Linked DNA regions of Rattus norvegicus. The protein of the gene in region 2 purifies or fractionates together with the protein of the main gene of each other region. This does not show direct contact. Links are inferred from orthologs where the notes say so. Each region holds a gene or a part of one and is shown on either strand. Other genes may lie near its edges.

Region 1 (4,013 bases), on a different chromosome or scaffold from region 2:
CACAGGAAGCAGAGATTCCTCCGTGTGGGACAGGTAGTGCTGCAGAGTTGGTGTCTAAGTGAACAAAAAACAGGCTTAAAACACCAGCAGCTTTCATCAGTGTTCTAGATGCTATGTCTGGCAGAGGACAGTGTCTGGTCATCACCCCTCATACCTCTTTGCCCATGTGTACTTCTGGAAGAGCGCGAGCTCTAATCTAAGCACAATATTATTACTGTGGCTTCTTTATCTGAAGGTCAGGATAGCACCCGGTACATGAGAAATGCATCTCCAAGGATGTGGCTAAGTTTCTTAAATCACTTGGGTGTGGCTTCCCTCCTCAAAAGGTTGTTATCATAAAGATTAAGTTGGCTACAGAAGGGGAGCCAATCTAAGATGGCAGCATGTTTGGGTTACCATTTATGTTCACATTCCTTCCATATTAGGTAGGAACCAGGAGAGTGGTCTTAACACCAAGTAATTTATTCGAATGCTTGGTAGTTTGGTGAGACAGCTTACCCATTCACCGTTGTCAAGGATTTTCAGGGCTAAGCAAAAAGCCCCAGCTGCAATTTGAGAAGGGGCAAAATGCACCATGTCGTAGTCCAGCATGGAGAGCTCCATGAGGTATTTGGCCAAAGTATGCTGCTCCACATCGACCTGGAACAGACGACCCACACACCACTCTAAGCCGTTAGCAGTAACTGACAAAGGCCTGGGACTAAACTCTCAAAGTAACCACACGATATGTAGTTAGGTCATCAGCCTTATTTTTAAATGTTAGCAGCTGTATTTTCTCATGTGGCAAAACAAAACAAACAAACAAACAAAAAACAACAAAAAAAAAAAAAAAACAAAAAAAGAAAAGAAAAAAATTCCTCCAGAAGTCTGTACCTCTCCAATTTTAGATGCTCTACGGAGGAAGTGCAGAGGCAGAGGGCGACCCAGACTGAAGTTCAGAACTCTCAGAATCTTCATCTCCATCTGTCTGATCTGGTGCTTGGTGTAAGTGTTGTTAGTCACAAAAGCGAAGTCACCGATCTCTGGAGGGTACATCTCCTCGTATTTGCTTGCAATAAACATGGCAGTTACACCAACCAGCTGCAGCATCTTCTTGGGCACACAACTGTCCTGCAATGGCAAGTTCAGTCTGTCCTCGAACCTCTCAACTGATACACCTGACTTCCCAAGAAAAGGGTGTTTCAGGCTCAGCAGGTAAGTTTCCTGCCTACCTTCAGGGCCTGCTCCCCCTCCTCTGAGACTCTCAGAGAAGACAACCGGAGAACCAACTGCAAATGGCTGGAGCACACATACCTGCATGAACCGATCGATAATGGACACAGTCATGTACATGGTCTCCTGCAGCAGCCGAAATTTCATCTGAACCTGTATTAGCCAGTCGATTAGGATGGCTCTCATGTTTCCAGTGACTTCACGACCCAGTAGGTATTTTGGTCTAACTGACTGCTCTTCCTGTAAAAGAAAATGCCAGTTATTCTAGAACAATCCTGCCATATAACGTTTGTGTCCACAAAGGCCAGTCAACTAACACAAAACAAGTAGCTCTTGGGACAGAAGTTCACCAAGAAAGCAAGGTTTAGGTTAGTCATAACAGGTTCTTCATATTGTTGATATTCGGTTAACCAGAATGACTGCAGCTTATACCCTGTACCCATCCTCATCTCAGATCTTTTCACTCTGCTGGAAAGCTGATCTAAGTTATACACTCAAAACACCCAACATAGCGCAAATACGAAACCCAGTTCTGCAGTGTTAGAACACAACAAAAAAAAGTATTAACAAGGAAAAAGGAAGACAGCTAGTTTGGAACCAGGAATCTTACTAAACATTACTTTAGAAAATACAGACACTAGCTACAAAGAATGGGTGTCAGCAAAATGGCTTCATGGGGAAAGGCCTGCTGACTTAAATTGAATTTTTTTTTTTAAAGATTTATTTATTTTATGCATATGAGTACACTGTAGCTGTCTTCAGACACACCAGAAGAGGGCATCAGATCTCATTACAGATGGTTGTGAGCCACCATGTGGTTGCTGGGATTTGAACTCAGGACCTCTGGAAGAGCAGTCAGTGCTCTTAACCACTGAGCCATCTCTCCAGCCCTTAAATTGAATTTTAATTCACTCCAGGACCCACATAAAGGCAGAAGGAGAACCAATTCTTTTGTCTTTTTGTTTCTCAAGACAGTGTTTCTTTGTGTAGCCCTGGCTGTTTTGGAACTATGTAGATCAGGCTAGCCTCCTCCCTTTGCCTCCTCAGTGATGGGATTAAAGGCATGTACTGCTGCCACTTCACAAGGCAATCAATCAACCCCTGGAAGTTGTCATTTGACCCCCTCTATGTGCCCACCCATACAACAACACTTGGAAACACTATTACAAAAGAGACTAAAAAATAAAAAAACAAACAAACAAACAAACAAAAAACCCAAAAAACTAATGACAACCTGAGAAGACAATGCTAGGATATAGTTGAGTGGCAAAGTACTTGATTAGCACGCACAAGGACTGTCCCTAGGACTGGGGGGACAGGGAGGGTCTAAACCTGATCAAACTGCATGAACTATATAGAATGTCTTGTTTAAAAGATAAAAGGGCAAGTCCCATTGATAGAAAGTTTTCCAAGTAGGTGGAGGTGATGGGACCAACAACTTCCACCTTGGATAGAGAATCGAGCGCACACTGATACAAAATGCCTTGTGTGGGACAGCGAGTGTCTGTTAGCACCATCCAACCCGTTCTCGAACCACACACATGTAGGACTTCCCCCTCTCTATGGTATGTCTATTTTAGGAAGGTATCTCCCAACACTGACATTTTATATTCAAAGTGGCAAGTCCACTTCACGGGGTTAGTGACTTTATTTTTAGTGTTTCAAAACTAACAACAGTGCTCTGAGTGTAACAAATAGTATTCATTGTCAAAAATTGTCAGGTGCGCTGTTAGTAAAAATTTCTTTGACAGCTGAATTGAATGTCACAGAACTTTAATCCCAGCACCAGTGAGGCAGAAGGATCTCTGTGAGTTCCAGGCTAGCCTTTAAATTAGTTAGTAAATAACATAAAGGGATAAACCAGGTATAGTGCAGCATCTCCCTTTAATTCCAGCACCAGGAATACTGATCCAGGAGGATCTTAAATAGCAAGAGTAAGGGCTTAGGGTAGCTGCAGTTAGTAAAGGCAGACGCTAATGACAATACTGACCTCCAGTTGTCTGAGGTAAGCATAGATATCTTTCACATATTCACTACAGAGGTTTGGATCACCACCATCGTCTGCATCTACATCACTCACTGCAAGAATCACATCGGAGAAAGCCTGACACAGATATTCTTCGGCAGGTGCACATCCAGATGTTTCCATTGGGCTTGGAGAGGGAGTATCAACCTTGAAGAAAAGAGACTTCATGAAACATGCTACATCATGGGAGCGTAAAGTCATCATCCCCAATTCAGTAAGTCATTCTAAATAAATGTAATTCATTTTATTAAACGAAAGGTATTTCAGATTCTTTCCCCCAATTTCTTTTTGGGAAATGATTCATACTGGGCTGGAGTGATGGTTTTAGCTATAAAGAACATTTGCTGCTTTTGCCAAGGGCTGGTTTTCTATTAAAAAACCAGGTGACTCAACCTTAGTTCCAGGATATCTGACGACCTCTTCAGATCTCCCTGGGCCCTGCACTCATTGCAAACTGATATCTCACTCATGAAGAAAAAAACAAACCATAGAACAAAACAAAACAAAACAAAACAAACAAACAAAAAATGGCAGGCTGGAGAGATGCCTCAGAGGTTAAGAGCACTGATTGCTCTTCCAGAGGTCCTGAGTTCAATTCCCAGCAACCACATGGTGGCTCACAACCGTCTGTAACGGGATTCAATGTCCTCTTCTGGTGTGTTTGAAGACAGCTGCAGTGTACTCACATACATAAATCTTTAAAAAAAACAAACAATTCTAACAATCAGAAAACAGTTCTAACAATCAGAGCCAGGCATGGTTAATATAAGCTTTG
Region 2 (4,276 bases):
GTGATTCTAGAGGCAGGAGCGTTAGGAGTTCAAGACTAGCTTTGACTACATAGCAAATCTGAGGCTAGCTTAGAGATATCTAAGAGATCCTGTCTCAAAAAAGCAAGTAACAGAACACCCAATCCAAACAAAAGCCAAACCAGTAAGATAAGCCACAGGCTTTTAAAGTCTGCACCCTCGGCACCTATAGTTAGAGGTGCTTTAATGATCAAGCAGTTACAGAAAATCTTAGCATTCTGATCCCCAAATATCTACCAAAAATATTGTTTCATATATATATATTTCAAACTGTTATCATGTACTGAGCAACCTATAGTTAAATTCCAGCCTGCTTTTACATGTCCTTTGACAAATGCATCATCAACTTCTCTAATGCAACTTTCTAACCTGCCAAATAACCCCAGCTAATTCACAGGCCTCCCAAACGTTTTACAGACATGAGCCACCAAGTAATAACAGTAAACTTGTTTTTTTGTTTTTGGAACAGGATTTCATGTAGCCCAGGATGGCCTTAAATCATGGCAGAGCTGAGCATAACCTGAACTCCTGGTCCTCCTCCCTCTATCTTCCAAATGCTTGGGTTGTAGGCATATACCATAGACTCAGCATGAATAAGTTTCATGCTCATACAACACACACATGTTGTAAATTCTCTTCCCATGATGAACTCCCAGTGGAAAAGCCAAAACACGTACCATCCGAGCTGGGGCTGAATTCTGCCTGTGTGTAAAGGGGTCCTTACTTTCCTCGTGAACGTGAGCATTCAGGCAGCCACGAGATGCAGGTCTTATTGGCTTTTTAAATTCAAATGCTTCCTGCAAAACAATAAATTTGAAATATCTACTGTCCATAAAATGAACTCTAGGGCTGGTGAGGTGGCTTGGCAGGTAAATATACTTGCTGAGAAGGCTGAATTCCATCCCCAAGCCCACACAGTGGAAAGAACACATCGGAAAGCTGACTTGGCTTCCACATACACACTGTGGCACACTCCCACCTGCAGGCTTTCTCTTTCACTAAATAAACCTAATGAAAACTTGTTGAGGCTAGAGACACCTTAGCAGTAAAGAGCAGAGTTCCTCTGTGGTGACTGTGATGGTAGTGGTGGTGAGTATTCTGAGACAGGGTTTCTCCCCATAGTCATGACTGTCCTGTCCTGGACCTCAGTCTGTACACCATGCGGTCCTTGTCTACCTGCCTGTCTCCCAGGTGCTAGGAGTAAAGATGTGTGCTGCCACCACCATCTAGACAGCAGTTCTTCTAAAAGACCCAGATTTGGTTCTTAGTACCCACAGGCTGGCTTACAACCATCAGTAATTTGTTTCAGGAGATCTGACACCCTCTTTAGGCACCAGGCATACGGTACACAGACATACACCAAACCAAAACAGCCATATGCAGAAGAATGCATGACTATCTTTAAAAGTTATACAAGCACACTTGTTGTTAAGTACTAAAAACAGTTAACTGCCAATAAGAGATTGTATTATTAAGTACTCTCTGAGCATAAGCTAATTTAATCATCAAATACAATCTGATTGTTCCCATTTTACAAGTAAGAAAACTACATCTACAGGTTAATGGCGTGCCTAAGGTCTTGAAGCCAGGTAGGTAAACCCCAGAAAGTTATTTTATCTATGCTATTATTCCTTTAGAGCAAAGCTTCCGGGAAGGCACCCTTGGGAGAAGTCAAGAGCCAGACATAGAGTTTTGGTTCCGTCATACTGGAGAGGCTGACAAACTGCTCCAAGCACACAGGGAGGGAATCCATTTGCACAGAATGCCTCATGACATCTCCCAAAGTTGCCAAACAAAATCTGCTTTCACACAGGACATTGGTTTGTATTAACTTAGAGATTGTAAGGGCTATCAACTGGTATTTTAGCAGGAAATGGGAAACAATAAATATATGGAAAGAGTGAACGAGAGCGGAGCCAATCAGTCTGCCTAACTATTTTAGACAAGACGCTCTGTAGGATTTAAGAGAAAGCCAAGCAGGGCACACATGGACTTCTGGATAAACCATGTCCTATCCTCTGATCCCACAGAACTGAATGGCTTTGGATTTTAGCTTATCACTGCAGTGTTTATAAATGTGGCAGATGGGTCCAATGACATACATCTTCCAAACACAAGTAATAAGATTTTCATGAGCTTAGAGTTGCCCTAGGATTGTAGCCAAGAAAGGAAAATCTTCAGTAGACTCTTCTAGATAAAACAACTCATGGATGTAATTACTCCTCACAAAAGCTACTTACTAAAATCCAACAACATTTATATCAGGTACTGTCCTAAATTTTCTACATATATAATCTTATTTAATTTCTAAAACAGCCAGAATAAATATTGCTACCTTACAAAAAAAATCCAACAACCAAAATAACAAGAAACCCACAAAGGAGCCTAACAAAATTCCAGCACCACAAAACGAGGTAGAAGATACAAATTCAGATTTCTCTACTGAAAGGCCAGGTGTGGTCTGTCTGTGACTTAGTCATGGAGACAGTAGCCCAGCCATGTCACCTGTAAACTGCTGACACTTAGCTTTCACTTCCAGCCTGGGTTATGGTTCCAGCCATGTTGATGCCACACTTACATTTTCTTTATTTTCATCCTGGTCAATGAGTTGAAAGATGTCGTGGTCTAGAGAATCAGAATGGCTCCTCTTTAGCGCTGGGCTACACCCCAAGAGCTTCTGCTGCCAAAGTAAAACAGAGAAATTGAGTTCACAGAGAAAAGCACAATGGGAGACCTAGTTTTCCTTTTCCTTTTTTTGAGATAAGGTTTCACTTTGAAGCCCAGGCTGGCCTTGAACTCAAGATGACCTTTCTGCCTCAGCCTCCCAAAAGCTAAGATTACAGGTTTGACCTATTATACCCAGCTAAAATCTTAATTCTTAAAGAAATGAAGCGGGGTTTGGAAGAACTAGCTTATCACCACATACTGTAGCAGGTAACCAGTAACTGTGCCTAGGGCTCCAACTGCTCTACAGAATCCGGAATCGCCTTACACCTAATCATACAAGGCCTGTAGCCCTCTTGGCAGGTAATAATACGGGCCATACCAACCCCCTAGTAACATTTGCATGAAAAGAACATTTCCTGGTTTGATAAAACTAAGATTGAGTACGAAGTCCACAAGAGGCAGTCACAGTTCCTCTAGGTAATGCCTTACTGCCTGTGTGTTTACAGGAATGTAGAAAAGCAAGGTCCATTTCCTAAACGTAGGGAAGCTGGTGTTTGATGGAGCAGTTTACAGGTATTAGTATTAGCTCAAAACAACAAAGGAACTTACAGGTAGGCAATTTATTCTCCTCAGGGAAATTTCAAGGCTGTAATGAGATCAAAAGGTAAATAAATATAAGAATAAAGAGATATTTTATTTATTTATTTTTTTTGGTTCTTTTTTTCGGAGCTGGGGACCGAACCCAGGGCCTTGCGCTTCCTAGGCAAGCGCTCTACCACTGAGCTAAATCCCCAACCCCAAGAGATATTTTATATGAGCAGATTCATACTGCTCAACCTATAGTAGGGGGAGGAGAGGCATGTCAGGTTCTCATTGTAGCATAGGCAAGAATAGTGTTTCCTGGTCTCAGGAGCACCCTCCATTGAAAATAAAACAAAAATAAAACAAAACCAAAAAACCCCGTGATGTCTCCTAAAATACACACATCCATTCATTTAAGTGTCAAAAAGTAGAGCTGGGGAAATGACAGCTAAACCACAGGAGGGGAAATCCTGCCAACTGCTGACCTGAAGCAACATTCATTGCCAGCAGTGTTTCCAGCACCCAACAATTCACTACAAACAGCTAACTGCAGAGCTCTAGTCCACTGTGAAGAACTTCATTCAAAAGTCAAGTTTTGACCATGAGTGATAACACATACCGTTAACCCAGCACCAGGAGGCGGGCAGACTTCTAGTTCCATGCAAGCCAGGGCTTTGTAATAAGATTCCAATCAAAAACCAACCCTCAAGTTTCTCTTGTCTTTTCTTTTGAGGTTCTAGGGATTCACCCTGTCTAGGGCCTCACACACCACACAAGCGCTCTATTGCCAAGTTTGCACTTTTTATTTTGAGACAGGGTTTTACTAAATTGCCAAGACAGGCCTTGAGTTTTTGATCCTTTTGCCTTGACTTCCTGAGTAGCTGAGACTACAGGCCTGTGCCACTAGGCTGACGTAAGGAAAACTTTCCTACTAAGTAGAAAAATTTAAAGTAGTGAATACATACTTTTCTTTACTGTCCAAGGGCCCAGGAGAATCTAGACAGAAACC

Evidence for each region. Proteins that work in one complex are often made in the same cells at the same time.
Region 1: the proteins of Cdc25a (region 2) and Ccnb1 purify together in Homo sapiens (affinity purification with mass spectrometry; 3 studies listed by BioGRID, with this or other methods). This does not show direct contact. The link is inferred for Rattus norvegicus from reciprocal best matches to the Homo sapiens genes CDC25A and CCNB1.

The regions. Positions count from the first base shown.
Region 1 is NC_086020.1:33,648,497-33,652,509, forward strand, and holds part of Ccnb1 (G2/mitotic-specific cyclin-B1), read right to left. Parts: intron 3,386-4,013; coding exon 3,203-3,385; intron 1,453-3,202; coding exon 1,294-1,452; intron 1,111-1,293; coding exon 874-1,110; intron 640-873; coding exon 499-639; intron 55-498; coding exon 1-54. UniProt on the Homo sapiens protein: Essential for the control of the cell cycle at the G2/M (mitosis) transition.
Region 2 is NC_086026.1:118,745,514-118,749,789, reverse strand, and holds part of Cdc25a (M-phase inducer phosphatase 1), read right to left. Parts: intron 4,276-4,276; coding exon 4,233-4,275; intron 3,332-4,232; coding exon 3,295-3,331; intron 2,699-3,294; coding exon 2,597-2,698; intron 816-2,596; coding exon 696-815; intron 1-695. UniProt on the Homo sapiens protein: Tyrosine protein phosphatase which functions as a dosage-dependent inducer of mitotic progression. Directly dephosphorylates CDK1 and stimulates its kinase activity. Also dephosphorylates CDK2 in complex with cyclin-E, in vitro.